4 linked regions of the Oryctolagus cuniculus genome follow. The protein of the gene in region 1 binds, or shares a complex with, the protein of each later gene. Links are inferred from orthologs where the notes say so. Each region holds a gene or a part of one and is shown in the gene's direction. Other genes may lie near its edges.

Region 1 (7,002 bases):
GGGAGCCTGGCTGCGCGCCCGCACCCCTTCCGCGGCGCGCTCCGGCCCTGGCCTCTCCCGTGGGGGGTGCGGGGCGGGGTGCCGCCCCAGCCTGGGCTGCTGGTGCCTGGGCGCCTTTTGGTTTAGTGACCCGTGCTGGAGACGGAGCTGGTAGGCTGCGGTCCGCTGGGTCCCTGCGCAGCTGCCTGCCGTGGCTGGGCCCGGGGCAGGGACCCCGCACACACACACACACACACACACACACACCCGGCCTGCTAGGGTGTGCCCGAGTCGGCAGCCAGAGCCAAGCGTGGAAGCCGGGCCCTGGGATGTGCGGTCTGCGTGTCTCAGCGGGAATTATTAATTACTTGAGAAGCAGAGTTCCAGAGAGAGGGACAGACAGAGGGGTCGTCCATCCGCTGGTTCACTCCCCACATGGCCTCAGCGGCCGGAGCTGCGCCGATCCGGAGCCGGGTCTCCCACGCAGGTGCAGGGCCCAAGCACCTGGGCCATCTTCCGCCTCTTTCCCAGGCCACGGCAGAGAGCTGGGTCGGAAGAGGGGCCCCGGGACATGAGCCGGTGTCCCTGTGGGATGCCGGTGCCGCAGGCGGAGGCCCAGCCCCCTTATCCGGAATCTTGAACCTCTGAGCCACACGCCTGTTTCCTGTGTGAGGTTTTTGTTGTGTTATCCCTGGTTGCGTAACAGGCCAGCTCCAAACCTAACACCGCAAACCTGATTCTCGGCAGGTTCTGGGCTCCCGCATTTGGGCAGCAGCAGCGGGCGAGGCAGCTCGGGTCTCAGAGGAGGCGCGGTCGGGGTGTCGGCCCGGGGAGGTGCTCCTGGCGGGCCGCAGTCCTTGCTGGCCGGCAGCCACGAGGCCTCTGCGCGGGCTGCTCGACGGGCCGGACCGGTGCCCGCGCTGCCGCGGCCGGGAGGTGCGGTGGGGGAGGGGCCGCCCTGGACTGTGCAGAGCGGGAGGCGGGGGCGGGGGGGGGGCCCTTTTGAAAACTGAGTGAGTTGATGCGGATTTAAAATGGTGCCTGTCAGGTCCAAGGACACTTCAGAAAGGCCGCGGGGGGGGGGGGTGGAATTAGAAGGTTCTTACTTTGAGGCAAAGCAGTTCTGAAATCCACGCAAAAAACTTCGTGGAAATGCACATTGTGGAAAACTGCACAGATTTCAAGAGTGTTCTTGTACTGAGGCACATTTTTAAAGGTTTTATTTATTTATTTATTTGAAAGAATGGGAGAGAGTATCTGCTGGTTCACTCCCCAAATGCCCGCGTCCCTGCCTAAGCAGGCCTGTTGGCACTCTGCACTCTGGCTCTGTCGGCCGGGCCGCCCGCTGGTGGCCCCGCTCTCTGCTCGCTGGAGCCCGGTGGCTTCCCCCTTGATGTCTGCCTCGGAACTGCTGGGGCCTCTCGTGGGCAGACCCCTGTTCTCGGGGGCTCCTGGAGCCTGAGGCCACGCCTCGTGTCCGAGCAGGGCCTGGTCCCTGGGAAGCCTGAGCAAGGGTGTTGAGTGCATGCCCAGATCACATCCACACAAGCCGCGTCTCTGTGTGAGGCCATCATGGCCCACACCTCCAGGAGGGAGCGCCCGGGGCCTCGAGAGAGCTCGGCTGAATAAACCCGTGGGTGAGAGCTGATCCTCCGCTCTCCGGGGGTTTAAACGTCGGGTCGGGTCGGCCCCTTCAGACCTCCTGCTGGAGCCTGGGGCACCGGAGGAGCTGCTTTCTGAACCCTTGGTCCCACCCCCCTCCCTGTCACTCAGGACACCCGGCCCTGGAGCCTGTGTTCCCTGCCAGTCGGCCAGTGAGCACTGGAGTCTGCCGTGTTCATCAGGCCTGTGTCACCCTCGGAGTCTGTGCCCGTGACCTTGGCCAGGGAGAGACACGGCAGCCCCAGGCAAGCAGGCTCTGTGCCGCCTGGAGGAGTCTTCTCTCCTCCCCGGCTGGCAGGCGCTCAGGGCCGGGCGTGCAGCCCTTGCCTGGACAGACTGGTTCTCACGTTGCGCTCCGTCCTACAGGGGTTGGGCTTCTCCGCAGCAGGGGGACGGGAGACCCCCGCATCTTCTCTCCCGCGTCGTGACCCCGTGTTCAGTCAACGTCCGTGGGCACAGGACGCAAGGCCCTCGTCCTGGCGCGGATGTGGGCTGGGGCGAGGGGCTGGCGAGGGGAGCCCTCGTGGGCTGCCGGCTGTGCGCTGTGCGTGCTCCCTCCTGTGGCCTTTGACCCTTGCGGGTTGGGGGGGGAGACTTGAGGGTGTGATGCCTACGTTGTCCAAGACCCTTTTATTTTTGTTTTTTTCAATTTTTTAAAAAAGATTTATTTATTTAAAAGGCAGAGAGAGAGGGACAGGGATCATTCATCTGCCTCTTCCTCCCCAAATGACCACAAGCCAGGCGGCAGGAGCTCCGTCCGGGTCTCCCACGTGGGTGCAGGGCCCAAGCACTCAGGTCGTCGCCTGCTGCTGCCCCAGGCGCGCCAGCAGGGAGCTGGATGGGCAGCGGAGCAGCCGGGCCCCGTATGCGATGCCGGTGTCGCAGGTGCCGGTGCCAGCTCCGTGGGGAAGCTGTGTCCTGTGACCGGCAGTGTTTGTTTCTGTTCCCCAGTAGAAGCGTTGCTCATCTCTGACAGAATGTTTGTTTTTCTCTCTGAGTTCTGTTTGTGTTCATTCAGAAGAAAGAGCAAGTTTTAGGATTTCAAAGTTTAGCCTTTCACTGTGGCCCTCGGACTTTTTTTTTTAATGGTTTTAGCATTTATTCAGTGAGAGAAGAAATACACAGGAGAGTGAGGGCTTTATAAGAGGGAGAGGGAGCTGAGGGGTTCACCAGGCTTTTCCAGGGAGTGGACGGAGGCTGGGAGAGCACTCGTGGGCCGCGGGTGAGCAGGTCTCGGGCCAGCGGGCTCTTTGTTCCAAACAAGGAGCGGTGTTGACCTCGGGCGTTTTGGCAGTTCACGGTGCCCTGGCAGCCGCCGTCTCGTCTCGTCTCGGTCCAGGTGACCGTGGACTGCCCCTTGGAGCATGTCCAGAGAGGCCAGTGATGGTGGACCAGGCCCAGGGGGTGCAGGTGCCCGGCGGGGGCTTGGGTCTGCTCCCGCCCTAATGGATGTGGCCATCCGTTTGTTGAAGACACGTTTTCCAAGGCCCCCAGGTGCACAGGCTGGTGGTGAGAGGGCTTGGACCCGCCCGTGTGTGGGCTCGTCCTGCAAGGTCCACACTGCCGGGATGGTGGGTTGACGGCGTTCTGCAAGAAGCGCCAGAGACCGGTTTTGGTGAACAAGTCTGCTTATTGACGATCAAGCATGAGATAGAAAAGGGCAGGCGGGGGGCGTGGCTAATTCAGGGCAACACCAGCGCTAGAGGGTAAGGCCGCCGTTGGCGCGCTCTGCTTCTCAACCAGCTTGAAGGTCCTGCAGCCTTCCTGATGGGCCTGGGCCGCGCCCGGGGGCTGTTTACCTGATGGGCAGTTCCGGGCTCTTCCGCAGGAGGCTGGGGTGGGGGAACGGGCCTGGGGCTGCTGCTGCCTGCCCGCAGTGAGGCTAACTTGCGTGGGCCAGGCACAGGGTCACCCACAGCCCTGCAGCAGGCCCTGCCCCCTCCCCACAGGAGCGGCCGAGTGCGAGCGTGCCTGTGCCTGTGCCTGGGTGTTTTCCCTGGGCCGCACCCGCGGAGTGCTGAGTGCCTGAGCAGACACAGATCGGCTGCAGGTTGGAAGGCCGCAAGTCTGGGTTCCAGGCGCCGGCCAGGCCTCTCTCTGGGGGCCAATGGGCGAGGCTTGGTTTCCTTTCCCGGCTTCTGGTCGTCCCAGATGCCCCTGGCTTGTGTCGCCCCCGTCATCACACAGCTCCCTCGGCTGGCGCCGTCTTCCCCTGTTACCGGAGAAATTGCAGGGTTCTTGTCTTCGCGCAAGAAAGAATTCAGGCGTGAGACAGAGAGCAGTGGGAGGTAAAATAGTAAAATAGCAAGGTTTATTAGGGAAGGGACATCCGTGAGGATGGATGGGCACCTCTCCAGACAGGACCTGGGAAAGAGTGCAGTCGCTCGGACTGGGGGGGGGGGGGGGGGGATGTTACATGGTTGAGTGGAGAGAGTACACCTGACCAGACCAGGCGGGCGGCTCAGCAGAGAGGCAGAGGGCTGAGCGCGCAGTCCGGTTGAGGCTGGGGGCGGGGGGGGGGGAGGGTTAAGGAGATGGGTCTCTGTCTTCACACATCTCCTCCTGAATCAAAGGATTTTATGGCTGTAAATATTAAGAAGCTCCTATCTGAGTTTTCCCCTGAAGGTATCAGACAGGAGGAAGCCCAGCTGGCGCCATCCTGGGTTCAGAGGAAGGGTGAGCAGGACCCCCTGGAGAATGGGGATCCGGAGCAGGGTGTTTGAGATGCAGGTACTGGGCTGCACCTGGGAGACTGTGGAGGATTTGTCAGGCGGAAGTCGGGGGGAATCTCCACCTGGCAGGTCATCAGGTAGAAGGGGGCAGGGCAGGATGTGAAGATGCGAATACCGGGCTGCCCCTGTAACACCATCAGGATGACTTTGAGATGCAGATGCATATGCTGAACGTAGAAGTTTTCTCGGGAGGCCTTTGGCACACACACGTAAGCTCATAACTGACTTCCTGCCTAACACCCCAGGGTCTGCCCTGCTGTCCCCTGGTGACCTGTTTAACTCGATCACCTGGGGAGAACGCGTGTTTCCAGGTGGGCGAGGGGCACCGTGGGTGATGCCCTGCCTGGGACGCAGCGTCCGCTGCCCAGCGCCCGGAGGCAGCAGGTGGAGCTCGGGTGCCTGGACCCCTGCCACCCACGTTTGCCCTGCGTGCAGCTCCCAGCTGCTGGCTCTGGCTTTGCCCAGCCCTGGCTGTTGCAGGCATTTGGGGAGGGGAGTGAACGCACGGTTAGGAGGAGTATCACCGCCTGTGTGTGTGTTGTGGGGGTGCTTTTCAAGTAAAATTTAAAAAAGTTTTTAAAGATCCCATTTACAGTCGGGTCACATTTTGAGGTACTAGGGGCAGGATCTCAGCTTGTTTTATTTGGGGAGAGGGAGACACTCAAACCCACCAGGTGCTGGGAGACAAAGGGGTCCCTCTACCTGCTGGGAAGGTGAGGTGAGCCCAGGGCTGGCTTTAAAGATGGACTAGATGGCCAGGGGTGTGGAGTGTGGACAGGGTCATCCCAGGATCAGGACAGCACAGGTGCCCCGTCCACGCCCTTGGCCTGGTGCTGTGCCCACTGCGGGGACAGTGCAGGGAACACAGGCCGGCGGGGGGGCGAGGGGCACGTTGGCTGACCCCTGACCTCCGGCAGGTTCATGGGCGGGGGCGGTGAGAGCTGCAGCCTCATCGCCGAAGGCCTCAGCACAGCCCTGCAGCTGTTCGACGACTTCAAGAAGATGCGGGAGCAGATGTGAGTGCCCCTCGCGCGGCCTGGGCCGGGCTCGTGCCAGCTGGCCCGGGACCACGTGGTCTGTGGTGGGGGCGTGGGGCAGGCAGCTGGGGTCGGGGTCTGCGGCCTCCTCAAGGCCCCGTGGTGGCTGCTCCATGCCTTTCTTGACCTGCAGCGGCCAGACGCACCGCGTGTGCCTGCTGATCTGCAACTCCCCCCCGTACCTGCTGCCCGCCGTGGAGAGCACCACGTACTCGGGCTGCACGACCGACAGCCTGGTGCAGAAGATTGGGGAGGTGAGGACCCAGAGTGCCCTGGGCAGCTCCCCGAGTCTGCCGTCCCTGCCTCGGCCAGTGAGAACTGTGGTTAAGGCCTGTCAGGTGTGGGCACCCGGGGCTGGCCCCGCGTCCCCCCTGCTCTGCTCTGCTCTGCCCTACATCAGGGCACCCACTTCCTGTCGTATCCCCCCCACAGCAGGGCCCCCACTTCCCGTCCTGTCCCCCCCCAGCAGGGCCCCCACTTCCCATCCTGTCCCCCCCTGCAGCAGGGCACCCACTTCCCGTCCTGTCCCCCCACAGCAGGGCACCCACTTCCCATCCTGTCCCCACAGCAGGGCCCCCACTTCCCGTCGTGTCCCCCCACAGCAGGGCACCCACTTCCTGTCCCCCCGCAGTAGGACCCCCACTTCCCGTCGTGTCCCCCCCCACAGCAGAGCCCCCACTTCCCGTCCTGTCCCCCCCAGCAGGGCCCCCACTTCCCGTTGTGTCCCCCCCCCGCAGCAGGGCACCCACTTCCCATCGTGTCCCCCCGCAGCAGGGCACTCACTTCCCGTTGTGTCCCCCACAGCAGGGCACCCACTTCCCATCTTGTCCCCCTACAGCAGGGCACCCACTTCCCATCATGTCCCCCACAGCAGGGCACCCACTTCCCGTCCTGTCCCCCCCCCACAGCAGGGCACCCATTTCCCGTCCTGTCCCCCCACAGCAGGGCACCCACTTCCCATCTTGTCCCCCCACAGCAGGGCACCCACTTCCCATCCTGTCCCCCACAGCAGGGCACCCACTTCCCGTCCTGTCCCCCACAGCAGGGCACCCACTTCCCGTCCTGTCCCCCCACAGCAGGGAATCCACTTCTCCGTCGTGTCCCCCCGCAAGCTGCCTGCGCTGCGGCTTCTGTTTGAGAAGGCGGCGCCCCCGTCCTTGCTGGAGCCGCTGCAGCCGCCGGCCGACGTGAGCCAGGACCCGAGGCACATGGTGCTGGTGCGGGGCCTCGTGCTGCCTGGTGAGCCCGGTGCCCGCGGGGTGGGGGCTGGGCTCTCTGCTGCCGCCTCTCTCTGACCTGGGTTTGGATTTGGTCCTCTCCATCCTGAACCCCTCCTGTTGGCTCCCAGTTGGGGGTGGCTCGGCGCCAGGCCCCCTGCAGCCAAAACAGCCGGTCCCGCTGCCTCCTGCTCCGTCCTCGGGTGCCGCACTCGCAGCCCCCCAGCAGCCTCTGCCGCCCGTGCCGCCGCAGTACCAGGTACGGGTGTCACTCCTGGGCCTCAGGGAGGGCGTCCTCCGACATCGGGGCTGGGGGTGGTGGCCGCTGCCCCGGGGTGTTAAGAGGCTGGCGTCTGCCTCGTGGGGCTGTGGGGG
Region 2 (7,526 bases), on another chromosome or scaffold:
GCATTTAGGGAGTGAAACAGTGGATAAAAGTAATCTCTCTCTCTGTGTGTGTCTCTCTAGCTCTGTCACTCTGCCTTTCAAATTAAATAGATTGTTAAAAAAAAGTACTAATGATGACATTGGTTTTGAGTTGATAATTGTTGAACTGGGTGATACCTACATGAAGGTTCACTACTCTTGTGTATGTTTGAAACTTTTAATAATATAAAGTTTAAAAGAAAGTACTTACCCACATTAGCTGTTTAAAAGATGAGACATATAATACTGGGTCCCTCCTCTTAAAACCACATGTCATTCAGCTCGTGGTGGGGTGGGGCACGTGCAAGAGAAGCACATCTACATGGACTCTACACATTCATGAAATGTACATGTGCTAAGTAAGATTTTGTTGAAGGCCAGGGATTCGCATGGGGTACCTGAACTGGTTGACCTACTCAGTTATCAAGTTTAACCACAGTAAGTCATTGTTGAGTGGCTGTAGAAGGCCCTGTAGTCAGTTTAACACATGAAGCTGTAAACAATTAGTCAATTAAGCTGTAGCCAATTGATTGGTACAGAAGCTGGTTGTTACAGAAAAAGCTATTCAATGATACTGTTAAAGCATGGTGAGGAAGTCTTTACCCAGGCCTACCAAGATAGGTACCAGCACCACAACAGGGTCTTGCAGAGTGGAGGAGAGCTTGGACTCAAGTCTGAATGCAGCATGGAGAAGTGGGGATGTGCAGCCAAGGAGCGGGGTGGGGGTCGCAGGATGTCAGAGCATTGACAGGAACAAAGCAGGCTCTGTAAAGTGATTCATACAGGGCTGACTCGGGACAATATGAGTGAGCAGGCCAGGGAGACACAAGCCCAGTGACTGAATGAGTCTTGGGAAGTGTCCCAGTGTGGTCAAATTCTGGTTGGAACATAACCATCCACGACAGAAGATACAATGGCTTGGCCCAAAATTGCGGGCTTTAGGTAAGTGGAGGGTGAATTCCTCATGGGCTGGAGACAACATTCTTCTTCTTCCTTTTTTTTTTAAAGTATTTATTTATTTATTTGAAAGGCAGTGTTACAGAGAGGCAGAGAGAGAGAGAGAGAGGTCTTCTATCTGCTGGTTCACTCCATCTGCAATGGCTGGAGCTGCACTGATCTGAAGCCAGGAGCCAGGAGCTTCTTCCCAGTCTCCCAGGTAGGTTCAGGATGCTAAGGACTTGGGCCATCTTCTGCTGTTTTTCCAAGCCATAGCAGAGAGCTGGATTGGAAGTGGAGCAGCTCAGACAGGAACTGGTGCCCATATGTGATGTCAACACTTCAGGCAGTGGCTTTACCTGCTACGCCACAGCGCCATCCCCGTCAACATTCTTTACAACATGATTGGTTACAAACACTGGCTCTGAAAAGAGGCTGTGGCCAGAGTGGTGGCACAGCGGATTGTGGCACCTGCACCACCAGCAACACCAACATCCCACATGACCAATGGTTGGAGTCCCGCTGATCCACTTCTGACAAAGCTCTCTGCTAATGGCCTGGGAAAAGCAGCGGAAGATGGCCCAAGTGCTTGGACCCCTGCACCCACGTGGGAGACCTAGATGGGTTCTAGTCTTTACTTCTGCTTTTATCAAGGTCAACACTCTAGTTCAGGCCCTATTCATCTCACATTTGGGCAAGTGTAGAACTCCTAGCAAGTCCCTGACCTTTTGCCCCTTGCAAACGCAGCTTCCATGGCACGGTGCAACATTCGGTACGGTATACTCTCAACTGGTACAAGAAAGCTACAGACTGCTCCAAACTACAGTTAAAGCAAATGAGAGTCACTTGGCATTGGTACCATGATATGGGAAGTGTCTCACCTGTGTGGTTCCCCCAGCAGGTCAGGTCTATTGACGCAGAGGTGGGGCTTCCCAGAAAGGGCCGGGCTCAGTCCTGCAAGCTGAGTTCCCCAAGGACTGTCTCCCCCACTGCCATGCTTTGAATGTGTCTGCCGCATTCATGCATCTAAGGAATGCACCAGAAGGAGCTGTCACACCAAGTCATATATCTGCAGCAGACAAGGAGACCACAAGGAGTCATTTCCAAAGCCGTGACTCTGTGAGCAGGGGAGAGGGAAAGATGAGCAGGTAAGAGGGAGGTTCTGATCACACCTGGGGGTGGGTACAGGTCCATGAAGGTACAGTTTGGAAGAATGCTCCAACACTGGCTGCACCATACGGCAGCACAGCTCACACTCCCCCTGGGGTGGAGCTCTTAGTGTTAACATGAAGCAAAAGGTGAGGTGTGGATACTCTGTGACCCGCCTGCGCCGGCCTTGCTCCTGCAGTAGGGTCCCGAGCAGTCCAGGATAGCTAGGGAACTGCATCTCTCTCTGGCATGTGACAGCAAACCTGAACTACATCAGGTGCCTTTGAGATGTGCAAGTAGAGATGAGTCAGTTGACAGTTTCTGAGCTGTGCAGGGCAGTGATAGGGAAAGGTGACTCGGCCCTTCTGAGTGGATTAATCCACTGGATTACTGGGGTAGCCCTGGGCAGGCGGTGGGTGTGTGGCATGGTGGCTAAGGCACTGCTTGGGACAGCTGCATCACAGGGCTTGAGTTCGAATCCCAGCTCTGCTCCTGATTTTAGCTTCTGCTAGTGAGCACCAGATAGGCAGCAGGTTATAGCTGGAGTGGTTCCCAGGTGGGAGACCTGCACTGAGTTCCAGGCTCTGGCTTTGGCCAGGCTCAGCCCCTAGTTGCTGCAGGCACTTGGAAAATCAATCAGCAGATAGAACTTAATCTGCCTCTCTAATAAAATGACAATATATAAATAAATTTTTAAATACATGGGAAAGTAGGACAAACCACTAAATAATCCCACAGAATTCAACGATCTCGGTAAACAGCTGACCACCTCACAACCTGAAAGGGAGCCCAGTCGCGCAAAGGATGCCGGGCCCCAGCCGCTGCAGGTCCAGGTAGCTCACCCGGCGTTCTCCCCGGCACCCGCCCCTCCTCGCGGGGCGTGTCCTCCATGACCCCACCCCTTCCGGAGAGCCGCACTCTGATTGGCCGTGACCCGTACGAAAGCTGGCCAATCGCGTAGGAGCAGCTGCTGCAGCGTCTCTGCGTGCGGGAGGAACATGGCGGACCGCCTCACACAGCTGCAAGACGCCGTGAACTCGGTAGGCGCTTTAATTCGCTTACTTGCGGTCTGCCTCATTCCTGAGGTAAAACGGGGGAGGAGAAGAGGCCCGAGACGCAGCCTTCGGCGGTGGCGAGCAGATGGAGGCGGTGCCTCTGCGAATTCGGGGCGTTCGAGGCCGGCCGCGGGGGCCGCGGAGGGAGCAGCCCCTTTGCCCGGCGGCGGCCTCACGGGGCTCGCCGGACACTGGTGCTGGGGGCGGGAGGAGAAGAAAGCAGACGCGGTTCTCTGCGTATACCTCGGCCCCGGGGCCCTGGAGACTGCGTCTCGGTGCGACGCCTTAGCCGGGCTCCGGTACTTCGAGGGGCGGGAGCAGGAGCGGTGGCGCCTGGAGAAGTTGTGTTCGCTCCCTCAGGCGGGGATGGCGAGAGCTGACGTCTGGAAGCTTGTGAACCTTGTGTCGGGCGTTGAGGTCCCTGGGTTTGAGAAGCGGCTCCCCTGGCGTTGTCCCTGGCGATGCTTTGCACCTGAGAGTGCGTGCGAGCCCTAGGCCCTGGGCTTGGAGCGGCCGCTGGCTGCCCTGCCTGCTGGGGCTGCTGTCCCCGGGCGGGTGCCTGGGCGGGCACTGTGATTGTTCACCCCCCAGCCCTTGAAGCTGACGAGCCGAGCGCTTGCAGAGCGCCAGCGTGCTGTGAACAGCGCGGGAGCTTGCGAGGCTGAGCGGGCAGCCACCGAGTGTGGGTGACATCCTGCCAGGCCCTCGGGGAGCTTCTACACATGCTGGTGCTGGATGGAAGCCTTCCTTCGTGGCCTGGCCCCTGGAGGCGAGGCAGGGCGGAGGGAGTGTGGCCTCTCCCCCAGGGGGAGGCCTGCTGGTAGCTGGGGTCTCCAGAGAAGCCTTCAGGGTACGCCATGAGCGCCTGCTGTGTCGGAGCCCAATCGTAGTTCCAAAGGGACAGCCTGAAGGGCATAAGGATGATGTCACATACTCAGGGGACGTTTAAATGATGTAAAAACACTATGGGGTTAGGGAGTTAGAATGAATGCGGTGTTTTCAGCTGTCAGTGCTGAGTAAATTGGAATATGGAGCCATGCGCCCTGAAATACTGAATTATCGTAATCGTAATTATTCATGTCGTGTTCACCATATTTGTGTTACGGCTGTTAGGTTTATGTTCGTTTCTTGCCGTGGAGTTTTTTTCAATCACTGTTTGTTGAATGAACGTCTAAATGGATCTTGAAAGCTTGTGAGGGACAGTACAGATAGCCACTGTGTTGAAGGGTTTTTTGTGCGTTTCCGCTGTTTGTCCGGTTAATCAAACCAGGATTAGAATCTAGGTTTATATAGCTTCCAAGCTCTTCCCCCTCCATTGCAAATAGCAAACCAGCAAACTGATAACTAGCGAGTAACTGTGAGGGAGTAAAATGTGAAAAATGTTTAGGAAGAGCTGGCTGAGATTATTATTGAAAAGTTGGAAACCGCTTGCTGACCGCAGTGGAGTGAGCCGGCGGTTTTTGTGCAGGGGGGAATACGATGGGTAACCAGAGAACAGTGAGGGCGCGATTGCAGTAATTCTGGCAGGAGGTAAGTGATGGAACAGAAGGGGGAGAATGAACCATCCGCGGGATAGGAAGCTGGAAGGCATGAGGCTCTGGAATGAGACTGGTTGGCTAGGACGCTCTCAAGACCAGTTAGATACTTATCCGGGGAGCAGGTGACTTCGAGTCCGGCCATTGCAGTCATGGCGGAGAAGGGCGGTGGAAATGCTTCCTCACTGATGGGAAATAGGACTTGAGGTCTGAGAGGTCAGGCCTAGTGAGAGGATTGGTGGGGAGCTGTGGTCCCTGGTTGAAGATGGTAAGGCACTGGTTTCTCAGTCTTGAGAGCTGCTGAAGGAATACTTTAACAACGCGAGCCTTAGCACTGCATTAGAAAAGGCACCTTATTTCCCCTATTTCTTTGCCTTGTGAACACTGAGATCTCAGAAAAGGAATTGTATATGAGTAACACTTTTTTAAATTAAATCTGGGGCCATACGTGGAAAGTCTCGTTGCCTGTAATATTGGCACAAAATTGTCTTTATCATTCTGTTAGCTTCAGAAGACAAGAAAGATGATACAAGTTTGCATGGGCTGCAAAATTTTTTTGCATAAAAATATATTGATCTTTTAATTCCATTTTTACTGTCTCATCTAGATTGATATCAACACCACCTAGGTTGATACTAAGTTTATTTGCATGGTTGAAATATCTAATCATTGTTAACACACTGGCTTGTTTTATCCGAAATTACTCCTTTCTGATTCACTCCCCTGCTCAGAGAGCATTGTTTTGGGAAACTTGTTGCCATTACCAGCAAAAGCTTTAGACTTGATAAACTTTGTATAATCCTGACCTGTTTTCTCTGGCCCAAGCTTGCAGATCAGTTCTGTAACGCCATTGGAGTGCTGCAGCAGGGTGGGCCTCCTGCCTCTTTTAACAACATTCAGACAGCCATTAACAAAGACCAGCCTGCTAATCCCACCGAAGGTAAACAGCTTTTCTTGGCTTCCCTTTATTTGATTCTCGGACTTCGTGTAATCCTTTAAATTAGATTTATTTAGAAATTCACTCTGTTGCTTCTTTATACAGATGTTACTGAGGTACTACTGGACGTTTTGTATGTCATACCAGAAATTATTTATTGTAGTTAACTTGCATAATACCATAATTCTTCTTGTGTCATACCAGATTGGTGCCCTTGGAGAGAATTAGGAATTTGGCTGAACTTTACTGACGGACCCTGATAATTAGGGCATCCCATGTACAGATTCATTGATTCTAGTGTCTTCCATATTATCCTAATACATGAAGTGAACATGCCTTAGGCTTAATTCTCTGAGCCTGTATTAAGTTAAATATGTAACAGAACTGGTGCCTTGAAATTGATTTTTTTCTTTTAAATATTTCTATTTGAAAGGCAGAGTGATAGAGAGTGAGGGAGAGACAGAGAGCATGAGAGATACCTTCCATCTACTGGTTCATTCCCCACAGGGACATAAAGGCCGGGACTGAGCCAGGAACTCCATCCAGGTCTCACACATGGGTGGTAGGGGTCCAAGTACTTGGGCCATCTTCTGCTGCTATCCCAGGGACATTAGCAGCGAGCAGGATCAGAAGCAGAGGAGCCAGGACTTGAACCAGCACTGGGACATGGGTTGCCAGCATTACGATTAGTGGCTCAACCCAGTGCATCACTACACTGACTCATTAAAATAACACTTTGATCATTGGAATTCTAATATTAAAAAGTTAGGTGAAGTTTCCTGGTTTCATTAACTTGAATCTAATTTTCTGTTTGTGTAAACCCGAGATTTTCTCATACTAATTGAGTAGTCTTTCTGCAGAGTATGCCCAGCTTTTTGCAGCACTTATTGCACGAACAGCAAAAGATATTGATGTTTTGATAGATTCTTTACCCAGTGAAGAATCCACAGCTGCGTTACAGGTAACAACCTTTTTTCTTAGAGAATTTTACTGGTAGCAGAGAATTTTGAATTGAAGGAGATAGATTTATTGACTTTCATTGTAATATTCAGAACTATTTTATGATTATTTTTAAGGATTTACTCTTGGATTTACTTGAAAGACAAAGTCAGAGAGGGAGCCGGAGACAGAGATACCTTCCATTCACTGGTTCACTCCCCAAATGGCCACCACAGTCTGGCCTGGGTCAGGCTGAAGCCAAGAGCCTGGAATTCCATCTGGGTCTCCCATGTGGGTGACAGGAGCCCAAGCAGTCATGTGGGATGCTGGCATTGCAGGAGGTGGCTTAACCAACTGCATCTCACAACACTGTCCCCATACTTTCCATACTCTAGTTCACTTCCGAAATGATCACAGCTGGACCAGGCTGGAGCCAGGAGCTTCTTCCGGGTCTCCCATGTAGGTGCAAGGGTCCAAGGACTTGGGCCATCCTTTGCTGCCTTCCTAGGCACATTAGCAGGGAGCTGGATCTGAAGTAGAGCAGCCAGAACTTGAACAGGCGCCCTTATGGGATGCTGGTGTGGCAGATGATGGTTTACCGTGCTGCGCCATGATGTCAGCCTCTAAGATGGGCGTTTCACTAATTCAGTGCTAGTATTGTCTGTTGAAGATTGTGCTGAATAGCTGTACAGTAGTTGTCCAATTTTGAGTTAGAAGGAAACCTTGTATGTTCTGGTTTATCTTTTTCTAGCAAAGAAGGAAAGGATGGTGGCTTTCTGAACGAGGAATAAAATAATGGATAGCAAAGGCAGTTTGGAACAGAGTCATACTAGATAGTAAGATCTCTTGAAAATCCATTACTTTATAATCATATGGAGGAACTTAAGTTACCTCACTTTGAGAATTTCTCCTATTAAAACTGTATCACTGGTTGCAAAATCACCGAGATTTAAAAAT
Region 3 (7,802 bases), on another chromosome or scaffold:
CATCGCTGGTTTTGCTGCCCCTCCCATATTTCTTGTAAAGTGGTAGTGAAATCTAGAGGCATAAATACAATGAAATCCAAATTTTTAGGCAAAAACACATCACACTTGGTTCTATGTGGTCCCCACTGTGTGGCTGCAGGAAATGTGTTTACCTGTCACCTGATGTAAAGTTTTAGCATCCACAAATGATCATTGCCTAGATGTATTACTTTGAGTTCTAAAAAATGATTTTAATACTATCATTTCATCTGCATTTCCTAACTAAAATTCCATCAATAAAATTCCCTTTTCAATTACTTGGTTATTACAAAACACAGTGCATATAGGAAAAGAACAAGAAATATTCACTTTATCTAATGGAATAGAAATAAACCTTTACTTTGTTAAGCTACTAAAATCTTGAGGTTTAGCTGTTACTGCTGTTTTATGTTATTACCTTATTCCCTGACTCTCCAATCACCAAGGTAAATCAGTAAACTGAATTTTCCAGGAAAATGAAAACTACTTATTAACTCTAAATGAATTTTTTAAACACCATAATAAAAATCTAGAAAACTTTCAGTACTTTGTATATTAGACAAAAGGATATAGAGGGATGAAGATTGCCTACATTTCTTGAAACCTTTATTTCTACCTATATTTTTTTAAAGATGTATTTATTTTATTTATTTGAAAGTGAGAGTAACACAGAGAGGAGAGGCAGAGAGAGAGAGAGAGAGAGAGATCTTCCATCCGATGGTTCACTCCCCAGATGGCCGCAACGGCCAGAGCTGCACCGATCCAAAGCCAGAAGGCAGGAGCTTCTTCCGGGTCTCCCAAGCAGGTGCAGGGGCCCAGGGACTTGGGCCATCTTCTACTGCTTTCCCAGGCCACAGCAGAGAGCTGGATTGGAAGTGGAGCAGCCGGGTCTCAAACAGGCGCCCATATGGGATGCTGGTGCTTCATGCTAGGGCGTTAACCCGCTGTACCACAGTGCCGGCCCCTACCTACTTATATTTTTGAGTCTCACTTTCCTTAAAGTAGTGTCAAGTATCAGAAAAAAAAAAAAAAGGATCCTTTGACATAGCATGGCTACATTTGATTAATCACTGATCCTGCCTGGGAAAGGGCGGAGGAAGCAGGAAACAAACAAGGGAAGGAGGGGTAAGGGAAGGGGATGGGTTCTGGTAAATCCAAGACAAATGTGGGTAGCTGGGAAAAAGAGGAAAATTCTTTATGTCGGTCCTCCATCAGAACACAGATGCTGGGGGCCAGTTGTGGCGTAGCGGGTAAAAGCCACTGCCTGCAGTACCAGCACCTCATATGGCCACTGGTTCAAGTCCCAGCTGCTCCTCTTCTTTTTTTTTTTTTTTTTTTTTTTTTGACAGGCAGAGTGGACAGTGAGAGAGAGAGACAGAGAGAAAGGTCTTCCTTTGCCGTTGGTTCACCCTCCAATGGCCGCCGCGGCCGGCGCACCGCGCTGATCCGATGGCAGGAGCCAGGAGCCAGGTGCTTCTCCTGGTCTCCCATGGGGTGCAGAGCCCAAGCACTTGGGCCATCCTCCACTGCACTCCCGGGCCACAGCAGAGCTGGCCTGGAAGAGGGGCAACCGGGACAGAATCCGGCGCCCCGACCGGGACTAGAACCCGGTGTGCCGGCGCCGCTAGGCGGCCAGCTGCTCCTCTTCTGATCCAGCTCTCTGCTGTGGCCTGGGAAGGCAGTTGAAGATGGCCGAAGTCCTTGGGCCCCTGCACCCTTGTGGGAGACCAGGAGGAAGCTCCTGGCTTCGCACCAGTGTAGCTCTGGCCGCTGCGGCCAATTGGGGAGTGAACAGCAGATGAAAGACCTCCCTCTGTGTAATTCTGACTTTCAAATAAATGACTCTTAAAAAAAAAAAAAAAAAGGCAAAACAAAACAAAAAAAACCACAGATGCTGCTACCCAGGAGAGGGCTAAACTCTTTTTTTTTTTTTTTTTTTTAATAAGCGGTCTCAAAACTACTGAGGAAGCACCGCAGGCGGCCTGGCACGTATTTTATTTTATTTTTCTCCAATTCCTTTTCAGGTTTTATTCAATTTTGCATCCCACATCCGGGTGCAGCACAGTACTTAGCACACAGTGTGCTCAATGAAGAGATGGCTGACAGAACGAGCAAGTCCCAATGGCCGGAAAAGTCGCTGTAAAGGCCCAGGCACTCCAGTCGTGTGACCCCGGGCGCGTCGGCTGCCCACGCGCAGGCCGGTTTCTTCAAGCAGGAAACCGGACTACGACCACTACCCGCCTCGTCGCCCCCCGCCCCAGGCTCCTCGGGAGGCTTTGCACAATGAGCAGTACTGCAGAACGCCACACAGGTGCCGAGTTTGGGCACGGCTGTCTACTGGCAGGAACAGCGAGGCGTCAGGAAGCCCGGACTGGGGCTGTCGTGCAGGGGCTACCAGGCACCGCCTCCGTTTTCCCATCGTAAACACTTCGTTTAGATGCGATGACAGTCTGCGCCCTACACCCTTCAGCAGTCTGCAAGCCCGCTAGAGGCTGGGAACCTCAAGTGTCCTTAGGAAGGTGAAACTCGGGACTCCACATGCACCCGCAGGGGCAGGGACAGTCAAGGTCGCGGGGTTCTGAGCCCTAGAGCGCTCACCCAGTCAAAGTCACACGGGTTGCCGTCTTCGCGTTGGGTGGGGAGTCCATGGCAGAGCGGTGGCAATTTCCTCACGAGCAGGAAGGCAGCAGAGAGCAGGGCAGACAGAAGGTAGTAAGGCCTGGCCAGCCATCGTGAAAGTCGCGGCACCGAATACACCAGAGCAATCAAAGGCGCTAAGACCGCCATGTTTCCAGGTCCTGCGGCGCCCGCCGCTCACCGGCGTCCGTAAATCTGGGCCCGCCTCCCACCCCATTGAGCGTTCTATTGGCCCAACTACCAGAAGAACCGCCTCTAGACCCGGAAGTAGATTTCTCATTGGATGCCGCCGTAATTCCGAGTTGAAAAGTGGAGTTGACCGGTTTACTGGCCAATCTAGTTGTCGCTTTTTCTACCAAGGTCATTTTATTGGATATGTGTTTATGGCCCGCGGAAGTGACCCAGAAGAATTCAATCAGGTTAGATAGCACTTCCTGAACGTTTTCAGAAAGCGACGGAAGTTGTTGCCAGAAAAAGGTAGGTGGAGCCACAGATATCCAATGATAAGCTTTCTTTACAGGAAGAGGGCGGTACCCCGTGAAAGGATTGTCCAATGATAGTCATCAACGCCAGACACTGAGGCAGCGCCGGTGCGGAGGGGACGATGGAGAATTTCACGGCGCTGTTCGGGGCTCAAGCTGACCCACCACCTCCCCCAGCCGCACTAGGCTTCGGACCAGGAAAGCCTCCACCCCCGCCCCCGCCGCCGCCGGGCGGGGGACCCGGCACAGCGCCGCCTCCCACGGCGGCCACCGCTCCTCCCGGCACAGACAAGTCAGTGGCTGGTTGTGGCCCCTTCTATCTAATGCGGGAACTGCCTGGTGAGTACTAGGCCTGGCCGAAGCTAACCAGTCCAATGCTGAAGAGGTGAGGGCGTGGCTGTTGGCCGGCTGCTGGAGGTGCAGAGGCTGCACGGACCCGGGCCGTGGAGCTGGAACTTGCAAGAGCTGCGAAGATTCGCAGCCACAGGGATGATTGGGTTCGTGGGATGGATTGGGAGGAGGTGGGTGTGTGTCTCTGGGTCTGGGCTGTGCCCCTGACACTGGCTTCTCCAGGGTCATGGAGATCGGAACTCAAATGATATGCCTAGGGAACCGAGGTTTTTTAGTTTCAGTCCGCCTCAGGCTGGCTGTTGGTTTGGGGGTAAGTTTCTTCATCTATTCAAAGACGGGATTAGAAGGACACGAAATTATTTCATATCAAATTTATGTGGTTTGTTCTGCATGCTGGAGCTACAGCTGTGAACCAGACTGGCAAGATCTTTGTCCTTTTTGCCATTGGAGACAGCGTAAGCAAGATAGCATCAGATAGTGATTAATGCTGGATGAAAACGTGATCAAGAGTTGAGGTGGAGGCAGGCGTTGTGGTGCGGTAGGTTAAGCCACGGCTTGGAACGCCCGCATCCCATATTGGATTGAGTCCTAACCCTGTGTACACCCTGGATGGCAGCGGACGATGGCACGTCCCTGGATTCCTACCGCTGTCAGGGGAGACCTGTGTGGAGCTCCAGACTCAGTCGCGGCTGTTGCAGGCATCTGCGGAGTGGGCCAGCAGATGCAAGATTTCATCCTGTGCCTTTCAAATAAAATAATTTTTAAAATGTGGAAAAACTGAATTAAAAGATGTTCACTTTTAGAAAATGGACATAACTGTTGCTAGATGATCAGAGTTAACAGAGAGGAGAGGCAGAGAGAGAGAGAGAGGTCTTCCATCCTCTGGGTCACTCCCCAGATGGCCACAACAGCTGGGGCTGGGCTGATCCGAAGCCAGGAGCCAGGAGCTTCTTCCGGGTCTCCCACATGGGTACAAGAGCCCGAGGCCGTGGGCCATCTTCTGCTGCTTTCCCAGGCCACAGCAGAGAACTGGATCAGAAGAGGAGCAGCTGAGACTCAAACTGGTGCCCATTTGGGATGCCGGCACTGCCGGTTGCGGCTTTACCTGCTATGCCACAGTGCCGGACCCTAGTGCTTTTTCTTAAACTATAGTTTTCCTTTTATTTGAAATGCAGAGAGACAACCACCAGCAGTTTCTTTAAGCTTTTTTCACTTACTCTGATTGTGCTTGTTTCTGTCAGCCCGTTGGCAGATACTTGGTATCTGTTCTTGGTAAATGCTCTATGTGCAGGAACAATGATGTGTTGAAAGGGGGAAAGAGATGTCAGGTCTGGGCCTTACTTCCTAATTTTTACTTTATTTGAAAGCCAGGGAGAGACGCAGAGAGACATTCCATCTGCTGGTTCACTCCCCAAATGCCCCCAACAGCCAGGGCTGGGCCAGGCCAAAGCCAGGAGTTGGGAACTTGATCCAGGTCTCCTTTGTGGCTGGCAGGAATCGAGTCCTTGCCGTCATCTGCTGCCTGGCAGCCTGCATCCTAGCTGGAGGTTGGAGCAGAAGCAAAGGAGCCGGCACGGAACCCAGCCACTCTAGTATGGGATACGGGCATCCCAAGCAGTGTCGTGACGACTGCTGCAAATGCCCACCCTTGGTCCTTGGTTTATAAGAAGACTATTTTAGTTAGTTAGGGAAGCACAGTATGTGGTTTGTGGATAAACAAGTGACTGTTTCTCATCGATACCAGTCTCATTACTTTGCAGTCATGCCTTAAATACTGCACAGCTAACAGTATCTTAGTGAACAGCATTAACTCCTTGATGGTTTTCAAAATGTGGTGTATCCATGATGACAGCAAGAAATTAGATGTCACTTGAGCTGGACTGTGAAGAATTCACATTGGTTGGGGAAAAAAAAAAAAAAACAACAGATTTTTCCTAAAAGGAAACAATATAAGAGGGAATGCCTATTTTTTTTTCTCATAAGTGTGGAGACTCATTTGAATGGATCAGAAATTTTACCAAAAAGAAAGAAATTTTACCTTTGGGGAAGTAGTGGCTGATGAAGCCCAGAGCTAAGTTGGATGCAGTCAGATGTGAATAACCCTGGATGCCTGAGGAACGGGTGCTTTCTCCCGAGAGTAACAGGAAACCTGAAGGTTTTTGAACTCAGAAGTCCTGCTTTCTAAAACATCTCAAGAATGGCGGTGCCATGATTGAAATGAAGAAGCCATAAGTGACATGGGCAAGAATTTGAATTAAAAAAAATTGAATCTGCATGAAATTTACTGCAAAGAAGGTTCATTCAGGAGAGGAGTCAGAGCTGGGGAGAAAGATTTATAAATTAACTACAAAGCAATAGTCAAAAACAGGAAGTTAGAGTTTAGAAAAAGCACAGTACCTTCTCCCTGACCTTCAGCAAAACCACCTGGGAGGAAGATAACTGGCAGAGAGGAGGGAACATCAGAAAGCAGTAGCAAGCAGCAGTGCCAGTTACAGAGCTGCTGCTGTTACAGACTACTCTTCTGACACATCTGGCAGTGCCGGGAAAGAAACGGATGCAGTAAGGCCTAGGGGCAGTCAGGAAAAGCACCTTAATACTGAGCACTAGCAACACGTGAACAGAGCGTTGTCTGCCTTCAAGAAGCCCACAGTTCAGAGCCCGAGTTTTCCCAGTTATCATTTTGCTCATGGTACCCTGGGTGTCCATCATAATTACAGATGAAGTTGTGGGTTAGATATTTTCACCCTTACCATAAATTTAGATTATTTATACTTTTCAGTATGTTTTCATTTAAATCTTGAAAAAAAAATGAAGTTTACTTAAGATAGCTATTATTGCATTCCACAGATAACAAGAAACTAAGGCATGGAGAACAGCACTAGAATTCTAGTTGTCCAGCCAATTTCTAACTACAGATTTCTTCTTTGTCTGCAAAGCATTATACTCAGTAACATTAGGGAGAATAAAGATGTTGGTAACCAAAGTTAAGCAACAGTAGCTAGAAAAATCTCCTTGCTGTTTTTCTATATAACTATGATGAGTGTTTTTTGATTGTTAAAGAGAAAAAACAGGGGCTGACACTGTGGCATAGTGGGTAAAGCTACCACCTGCAGTGCTGGCATCCCATAAGGGTGCCCGTTCAAGTCTTGGCTGTTCCACTTCTGATCCAGCTCTCTGCCATGGCCTGGGAAAGCAGTGGGAAATGGCCCAGCTCCTTGGGCCCCTGCCCCATGTGGGAGAACCAGTGGAAGCTCCTGGCTTTGGATCAGCTCAACTCCTGCCATTGCGGCCATTTAGGGAGTGAATCAGCTGAAGGAAGACCTCTCTCTGCAATTCCATCTTTTCAAATAAGATTTTAAAGAGTTACACAAAGAGCGAAGGAGAGGCAGAGAGAGAGAGAGAGGTCTTCCATCATCTACTGGCTCACTCCCCAAGTGCCTGCAACAGTCAGAGCTCCGCTGATCAGGAGCCAGGAGCTTCCAGGTCTACCACACAAGTGCAGGGGCCCAAGGATTTGAGCCATCTTCCACTGCTTTCCCAGGCCCTAGAAAAGCACTGGATTGGAAGTGGAGCAGCTGGGACTCGAACCAGTGCCGATATGGGATGATGGCACTGCAGGCGGTGACCCCAAAATAAATCTTTAAAAAAAAAAAAAAAAAAGGCCAGCGCCACTGCTCACTTGGCTAATCCTCCGCCTGCGGCGCCGGCGCACAGGGTTCTAGTCCCAGTTGGGGCACCGGATTCTAGTCCTGGTTGCTCCTCTTCCAGTCCAGCTCTCTGCTGTGGCCTGGGAGGGCAGTGGAGGATGGCCCAAGTGCTTGGGCCCTGCACCCACATGGGAGACCCAGAGGAAGCACCTGGCTCTGGGCTTCAAATCAGCGCAGCATGCTGGCCGTAGCAGCCATTTGGGGGGGTGAACCAATGGGAAAGGAAGACCTTTGTCTCTCTCTCTCTCTCTCTCACTAACTGCCTGTCCAAAAAAAAAAAAAAAAGAAAAGCAAAGTTCTTGACAAAGACCCTCAATCCCCTGAGTCAGAGAGTCAGATGGCCCTTGCTGTGGTCCCAGCTGACCTGTGAGGGCCTCTCCTGGTCACAACATCAGAGAGTATTTCTCACTTACACTTTATGAAAAGCAGAGAACAGTGTTGAGCATGCAGGCCATGTAAATTATCATTCTGGCTCATCCAAGAAGAGCAGAATGCCTCCATGTCTGCCCTGTTTAGGTTTCTGCCCTTTCTCCTTCCCGTGCCTGTTGTTCTGTAGTACTGCACTTCTAGTGTTTATATGTTACTGTTTACTTTTGCTGTTTCTTAA
Region 4 (7,690 bases), on another chromosome or scaffold:
CCGCAGGGGAGCGGCACACCGCCAGCCGGCTCTCTCAGGGGCTGCACAGGTGTTCCTTCAGATGTTCCCCTTAGATGTTCCTGGTGCACGTTGTCTCTCTCCTCCTTTATAGTCCTCTTCCACCAATCCCAACTCTGCTACCCACACGCCGAGTACGCTGCTCTCCTCCAATCAGGAGCAGGTCCTACAGTTTATTGGTTGAACTGGAGGCAGCTATGTAGAAGCTGTTTCTCCCTTCTCCGCACCATATTGTGGGAGAGCAGATGCATAGAATAAGTCTTAATTCCAGTAACTTAGTCTAGTCCGAGTTGCTCCCCACAAGCCCGTACCATTGAGCACTTGGAACTTTGCTAACCCAAAATGAGATGTGCTCTAAGTGTAAAGTACACACTGGATTTTAAAGACTTGGTTCAGGGCCCAGTGCTGTGGCATAGTGGGTTAAGCCTCTGCCTATGGTTGCTGGCATCCCATTCAGTCTGTGTCCCAGCTGCTCCTCTTCTAATCCAGCTCTCTGCTATGGCCTGGCAAAGCAGCAGAAGATGGTCCAAGTGCTTGGGCCCCTACACCCACATGAGAGACCTGGAAGAAGCTCCTGGCTCCTGGCTTCAGATCAGATCAGCTCTGACCATTGCAGCCATTTGTGGGAGTGAACTAGTAGATGGAAGATCTCTGTCTCTCCTCTCTCTGTCAGAAACTCTGCATCTCAAATAATCTTAAAAAAAAAAAAAAGACGGTACAAAAAAAGGATGTTAAATATCTCATTTTTAAACATTTGTTACACATTAAAATGATGCTACTTTGGAAATTGTATGCTAAATTATTTTACCTGCTTTTTAAATTCACTGTGTAGCTATTATGAAATTTTAAATTACATATGTGGCTTATATTAAGGCAGGAGAGTACTATTTTAGACTACTTGCAACATTCCTCAATTTCCTCTCATTTTAACCCATAACAAAACATACTTCAAATTGTTTCATGATTTTCTCAATACTGTTATTTCTAGTGCATGGGCTGTCCCACCACCTCTGTATAAGTGTCTGACTGTTTGCAAAAAGAGCATAGCTGTTTTTGATTGTTGGGTCTCACCACACCAAATCCTAATAAACTGGAGAGTTGCTATCCTGTGACTACTTTATTATTTATACTATAAACATAAAGGTTAAGAACACAGAGCCAGGGCCGATGCTGTGGCATAGCAAGTAAAGCCACCATCTGTAGTGCTGGCATCCCATATGAGTGCTGGTTTGAGTCCCAACTACTCCACTTCCAGTCCAGCTCTCTGCTGTGGCCTGGGAAGGCAGTGGAAGATGGCCCAAGTGCTTGGGCCCCTGTACCCGTGTGGGAGACCCAGCAGAAGCTCCTGGCTCCTGGCTTCGGATCTGCCCAGTTCTGGCCATTGCAGCCATTTGGAGAGTGAACCAGCAAATGGAAGATCTCTCTCTCTCTCTGCCTCTCTCTCTAACTCTGCCTTTCAAATAAATAACTAAATAAATGAATCTTTTTTTAAAAATTGGTGGTGGGTGCTGTGATGAAGCCGCTTAAGCTGCTGCCTCAGACACCTGCATCCGCATCAGAAAACAAAAATAAAAACAAACAAACAAACAAACAAAAACAAAAAACCGCAGTGCCAGACCACCTATTTTGGAATCCAGCTCTAATATTTAATACTGTGTAGCTTTGCTACTCATAACATCTCTGAGCCTCAGTCTCCTTAACTGAAAAGGGTGGAGAGGATGAGCTGCCATTGGTAAACCGCTTACAATGGCGGCCGGCATGCAGGTAAGGTATACTATTTGTATTTTTTTTTTTTTTTGACAGGCAGAATTAGACAGTGAGAGAGACACAGAGAAAGGTCTTCCTTCCGTTGGTTCACCCCCCAAATGCCTGCTACGGCCGGCGCTGCACCAATCGGAAGCCAGGAGCCAGGTGCTTTCTCCTGGTCTCCCAGGCGGGTGCAGGGCCCAAGCACTTGGGCCATCCTCCACTGCCTTCCCGAGCCACAGCAGAGAGCTGGACTGGAAGAGGAGCAACCGGGACAGAATCCAGCGCCCCAACTGGGACTAGAACCTGGAGTGCAAGCGCCGCAGGCGGAGGACTCGCCTAGTGAGCCGCGGCGCCGGCCTATTTGCATTCTTACACACATTCCTCACTGTTCCCATCTGTTGGTATGTTCTCCAACAGTGCTGGGCATCTCTACCCAAATCTGGGATTTTATGCTCAGATTTTCTAACTCCAAAAATCTGCTACTCTCAGGCGTATGTACAGCACTTGACCTATCTTACTTTTCAGTTTTCTTTTCTGAAAATGAGAATGGATATTGTGCAAACGTGAATGACACAATGTATGTAAAGTTGCTTGCATGGTCCTTGGCATCTGACAGAGAGAGCTTAAGCCTTTTCTGGCTTCACACACGTGATTCTCACAACAGACTAACAACAAAGAAACAGAATCCAGGAAGTTAAGACTTGCCCCAGGCTTCAGAGAGAGCTAAATAGCAGCGCTAAAATCCGAACTGGGTCTCACTCCGAGCCAAGCCCCCCCCCCCCCCCAATAAAACCAAAGCTGCTTTCCCCATCATGAGTGCTAAAACTAAATTAACTCGTGCTGTTTACTGCACGCCCGTGTCTGAAGACACGCACCGGCTGCTGCCGTCCAGCGCACTGAAACCGCGACAGGAACCAAATCACAGGGTTTATTAACACCACTGTCACTAGGTCAAGTCGGCGACGCGGAAGAGATTTCAGTAAGCACAACAGAGCGAGCGAAGCATTTCTCCTCCAGCCTCCGGAGGAAAGAACGGACTGCGGGGATGCGGGGCTGCAAGGGTCCCTGCCGACGCTACGCGGCCCGGCCGTCGGCCGGCCAGGAGGCCGAGGTCGCGCCTGCCCGCACCGCCCGCTCCTCCCGCTCGGGTCTCAGGGCCCAGCTCTGCGCCCGCCCGCCCCTCACCTCAGGCTCCGGGCGCTCCGAGGCCATCACACAGCCTTCCCGCGCCGGCCCGGGCCAGTGAGGCAGATCCACTGTGACCCCTGACCTGGCTACCTCAGTACCGGGCCGGAACCGGAAGTCGGTGGGCGGGCCAAGCCCCGATTTCCTTGATTGGTGGACAAAACCCTCAGAAACTGGGAAACCGGAAGAGGAAGTGGTTGCGGCTGCCACGGCTGCCGCAATGCAGGTGAGAAGCGGGGTGGGCCTAGTGGCAGCTAGCTGTCTTTGGGTAACGCAGCGAGAGTGGGCTGGCTGCGGAGAGTTAGGAGTTGGACCGAAGAGGAGAGGGCGGAGGCAAGAGGACGCGGGGCCAGGGCAGAGGGGAGACGAGGCCAAGTGGAGAAGCGGCGCGGATGCTACGTGGGGGCGGAGTCCGCTGACAGGGGAGAGACTAGCAAAGTCGGGAGGGCGGAGGCAGCCGCCGCTTGTTTGGGGCTGGGAAAGCATCAGGATGTAGTTTGCGAAAGCCGAGATACAATCCAAGGGAGACGGCCCGAGAGAGACATGAATTGGCTCAAGCCTCAGCCTAGGCTGTTGGATGCAGACGTAACGGCGAATCTGCAATCGGAGAGAAGCCCGAAGGGTGAAGGAATTGTGGGCCGAGCTGGCCAGAAGCTAAGTTGTTATCAACTGAAACCTTGGGTGAAACCCAAGATGATGCTCCTGTCAGGCGCAGTGTGGGGTTGGCATCATTTTTCCCAGTCTGTGCCTGAGAGTTATTAAGACGGAGGAAATGAAGTAAAACGGAAGATACCCCCCCACACCGTGGGAAGGGAATGCCTGCAGACCCCCACTACTTGACATTGCTTGTCATGTGAGCTGGGTGGGTGGTTTTGCTTTTCACTTGTCGCTTTGCTTCTTGGATGGGGCAGTGTTTCAGTAAGTCCTTCTGGGTCAGCTGAGCTTGTGAAAGAGGCACAGGAATATTGGCACAGAAATAAAGGAGAAAGTTGAAACATCACCCACTAAGCACGAATGAGGAGCGAGGGGCAGGGGCGTGCAGAACTAGGGTTCAGAGAAAGCTTCATGTCCAGGCAGATTTCGCAGGGGCTGTGCTGTTGACAAGAACAGGGCAGATTCTAGGACGAAGGAAGCTAGGGCACACGTGCCACAGAAATGTGCATAGGATGATGAATCCCAGGCATTATGTCTGGCAGGAGTTTCTCAACAAGGGAGAGTAGGGCACGTGCAATACAGAGGAAAAGCAGGCCTGGATTTGGAGGTGTGAGAGCGAGAATCAGTTGGTAGGAGGACTTAAGGTCAGGTGAAAGGTCTAAGGGTTGGTGCTGTCTGTAACCCAAATACCAAAGATAGAAAATAACCTGGCTGTCATTCCAGTGAGATCCGGTGTTAGCCAACTGCGGTTGGCATACTCTCTCCGACGCTTTTCAGCCTTCTTCTAAAGGTGTCATGCTCATATCTCTCTGGGTAACCAGCCCATCTCTGTTGGTGCAGAGGGAGGAGAAGCAGTTGGAGGCGTCATTAGATGCACTGCTGAGTCAAGTGGCTGATCTGAAGAACTCACTGGGAAGTTTCATTTACAAGCTGGAGAACGAGTATGACAGGCTAACCTGGTAAGGGTTGCCAGGGCAAACTGGGGAGGGCTCCTGACGAGTAGTTCATCTCTGATGATGTAACCATTTATCAGTTTGCAGATGTCGGGTAATTTGGAAAGAGCTTGGTTTCCCAACATTTAGTAAGTGAAGTTTGGCTGAGGGCCTCCGTGGCAAGGAAGTAGAGAGCGGCCCAGTTTCCCAAGCCACGTTCTTTCTTTCTTTCTTTTTTTTTTTTAATTTTATTTTTATTTATTTGAAAGGTAGAGATATAGACAGAGAGAGACAGAAAGGTCTTCCTTCCGTTGCTTCACTCCCCAAACAGCCACTACAGCCGGCGCTGCGCTGATCCGAAGCTAGGAGCCAGGTGCTTCTCCTGGTCTCCCTTGCGGGTGCAGGGGCCCAAGCACTTGGGCCATCCTCCACTGCCCTCCTGGGCCACAGCAGAGAGCTGGACCGGAAGAGGAGCAACCGGGACTAGAACCTGGTGCCCATATGGGATGCTGGCACCGCAGGTGGAGGATTAACCAAGTGAGCCAAGGCACCGGCCCAGCCACGTTCTTTCTAGCTTTTGATTCTTTTTTTTTTTTTTTTTTTGACAGGCAGAGTGGATAGTGAGAGAGAGAGACAGAGAGAAAGGTCTTCCTTTTGCCGTTGGTTCACCCTCCAGTGGCTGCCACGGCTGGTGCGCTGCGGCCGGCGCACCACGCTGATCCGATGGCAGGAGCCAGCTGCTTCTCCTGGTCTCCCATGGGGTGCAGGGCCCAAGCACTTGGGCCATCCTCCACTGCACTCCCTGGCCACAGCAGAGAGTTAGCCTGGAAGAGGGGCAACCGGGACAGAATCCGGTGCCCCGACCGGGATAGAACCCGGTGTGCCAGCACCGCTAGGTGGAGGATTAGCCTAGTGAGCCGTGGCGCTGGCCGCTTTTGATTCTTACCCTTTTCATCTCTGGTCAGGAGTTCTCTCTCAGTGGGTCTTCCCACTATATCTCAGTCCATGCTGGATCTCTTGCCACTAATGTGGCTGTCTTTTAGATCCAGCCTACTGCTGAAGTATGGCTCCTGTTTCCCGGCAGAAAGGAGGCTTTCACCCAGTTTCTGATTTTTTTTGTCATAGAATAGCCATGGTTCCTGTTTTCCAGTGTTTCTCACCCCATTCAAACAATGAACTGCCTTTTTCTGCCTCCGTCAGGAGCTGAAAGCGTGTCCCTCTTTCCTAACCCCGCATTCCTGTTCCAGGTCTGGGTCCTGCCGAGGCTCGTGATGGGGATGAGTCTTTTGGGGGTCAGTCTCAGTTTTCCTAATCTGAGGACTTGTCAAAGGTTATCTCACTGGGAGACACCCCAGGGAAGGGCTAGAACATTCTGACACTTTCTTACCACCACTAGGCCCTCTGTCCTGGACAGCTTTGCCTTGCTTTCTGGACAGTTGAACACCCTGAACAAGGTCTTGAAGCATGAAAAGACACCGCTGTTCCGCAACCAGGTCATCATCCCTCTGGTGTTATCCCCAGACCGGGATGAAGATCTCATGGTAAGAGAGTAAAAGGGGAAACTTGGGAAATTACATTCTTAGGTGAAAGCCTAGGGCACGGTTGTCGATTGGTTATTCTAGAAGTTCTGAATGTGGGGTAGTTCATGGCAGTAAGAAGCAGGGCTATATTTTGGAGGCCTTGCCTTTTGTCTTAGAGTAGGGAAGCAGCTTCCAAATAGTGCTGTAATAACCTAAGATCTGTGTTACCAAGGCAAAGATCTTTTCTGGGGCTGGCACTGTGGCCTGGCAGGTTAAGCCACTGCCTGCAATGCTAGTGTCCCTTATGGGCTCCATTTCGATTCCCAGCTGCTCAACTTCTTTTTTATTTTTATTTTTTTTTTAAAGATTTTAATTATTTGAGAGGCAGAGAGAGAGAGAGAGAGAGAGGTTTTCCATCTGCAGGTTCACTCCCCAAATGGCTGCAACCACTGGAGCTCTGCCAGTCCAAATCCAGGAGCCAGGAGCGTCTTCCGGGTCTCCCATGGGGGTGCCGGGGCCCAAGAATTTTGAACCATCTTCTACTGCTTTCCTAGGCCATAGCAGAGAGCTGGATTGGAAGTGGAGCAGCTGGGACTTGTACCAGCACCCATATGGGGTGCTGGCATTGCAGGCAGCAGCTTCACCCGTATACCACGGTGCTGGCCCCATGCTCCACTTCTGATCCAGCTCCCTGCTAATGTGCCTGGGAAAGCAGTAGAAGATGGTCCCTATCAAGTGCTTGGGCCCTTGCACCCACGTGGGAGACTCAGAAGAAGCTCCTGGCTCTTGGCTTCAGCCTGGCCCAGCCCTGGCCATTGGTGGCCATTTGGGGAGTGAAACAGCAGTTGGAAGATGTCTCTCTCGATCTGTAAATCACTCTTTCTTTCCTTCCTCCCTCCCTCCCTCCCTCCCTTCCTTTCACCAGCAGATGGAAGATCTCTATCTGTAACCTACTCTTTCTTCCCTCATTCCTTCCTTCCTTTTTAAGGTTTATTTTATTTATTTGAAAGAGTTACAGAGAGAGGTAGAGACAGAGAGAGACAGGCAGGTCTTCCATTCACCAGTTCACTCCCCAAATGGCCACAATGGCCAGAGCTGGGCCAATCTGAAGCCAGGAGCCAGGAGCTTCTTCCGGGTCTCTCACACGAGTGCAGGGGTCCAAGGTCTTGGATCATCCTCCACTGTCTTCCCAAGTGCATCAGTAGAGAGCTGGATCAGAAGTAGAGCAGCCAGGAATCAAACTGGTGCCCATATGGGATGCTGGCACTGCAGGCTAGGGCTTTAACCCACTGTGCCACATTACCAGCCCCTATAACTCTGACTTTCAAATGAATAAATAAATCTTAAAAAAAGAAAAATGTCTTTTCTCTCCAACATCTTTCTCAAGCAAAAAAATCTTTCTTTTTGTGACTTTGTTTGTTCTGGATTTAATTAAAATATGACAGAAAGAGTTATATTTATCACTAGGCTGGTAGAGATAGGGATGTGAGAAAACGGAAATGAAACGTGGAGTAAAGGGGACAGTGTCCTAGGAAGCTAGATATTGTGTCTCAGGTTGTATTTTCTTGAATATTCAGTGTTTGTCTGTGGAAGGGAAATCGGGGTAGGGTGAATCTTCCTGGAGTATGTAGT

What was found. Proteins that work in one complex are often made in the same cells at the same time.
Region 2: MED25 (region 1) and MED21 share a complex: the UniProt entries of both Homo sapiens proteins name them as parts of the mediator complex. The link is inferred for Oryctolagus cuniculus from reciprocal best matches to the Homo sapiens genes MED25 and MED21.
Region 3: MED25 (region 1) and MED19 share a complex: the UniProt entries of both Homo sapiens proteins name them as parts of the mediator complex. The link is inferred for Oryctolagus cuniculus from reciprocal best matches to the Homo sapiens genes MED25 and MED19.
Region 4: MED25 (region 1) and MED8 share a complex: the UniProt entries of both Homo sapiens proteins name them as parts of the mediator complex. The link is inferred for Oryctolagus cuniculus from reciprocal best matches to the Homo sapiens genes MED25 and MED8.

The regions. Positions count from the first base shown.
Region 1 is NC_091449.1:7,730,877-7,737,878, reverse strand, and holds part of MED25 (mediator of RNA polymerase II transcription subunit 25), read left to right. Parts: intron 1-5,290; coding exon 5,291-5,389; intron 5,390-5,543; coding exon 5,544-5,664; intron 5,665-6,486; coding exon 6,487-6,649; intron 6,650-6,758; coding exon 6,759-6,886; intron 6,887-7,002. UniProt on the Homo sapiens protein: Component of the Mediator complex, a coactivator involved in the regulated transcription of nearly all RNA polymerase II-dependent genes.
Region 2 is NC_091440.1:124,253,002-124,260,527, forward strand, and holds the start of MED21 (mediator of RNA polymerase II transcription subunit 21), read left to right. Parts: upstream 1-2,900; 5' UTR 2,901-3,101; coding exon 3,102-3,143; intron 3,144-5,518; coding exon 5,519-5,633; intron 5,634-6,490; coding exon 6,491-6,591; intron 6,592-7,526. UniProt on the Homo sapiens protein: Component of the Mediator complex, a coactivator involved in the regulated transcription of nearly all RNA polymerase II-dependent genes.
Region 3 is NC_091432.1:14,439,370-14,447,171, forward strand, and holds the start of MED19 (mediator of RNA polymerase II transcription subunit 19), read left to right. Parts: upstream 1-3,176; 5' UTR 3,177-3,259; coding exon 3,260-3,476; intron 3,477-7,802. Other genes in the region: TMX2 (thioredoxin-related transmembrane protein 2), read right to left, coding at 2,617-2,805. UniProt on the Homo sapiens protein: Component of the Mediator complex, a coactivator involved in the regulated transcription of nearly all RNA polymerase II-dependent genes.
Region 4 is NC_091438.1:129,632,885-129,640,574, forward strand, and holds the start of MED8 (mediator of RNA polymerase II transcription subunit 8), read left to right. Parts: upstream 1-3,064; 5' UTR 3,065-3,172; coding exon 3,173-3,178; intron 3,179-4,427; exon of another isoform or gene 4,428-4,446; coding exon 4,447-4,565; intron 4,566-5,934; coding exon 5,935-6,079; intron 6,080-7,690. Other genes in the region: KICSTOR complex protein SZT2, read right to left, coding at 2,953-2,979. UniProt on the Homo sapiens protein: Component of the Mediator complex, a coactivator involved in the regulated transcription of nearly all RNA polymerase II-dependent genes.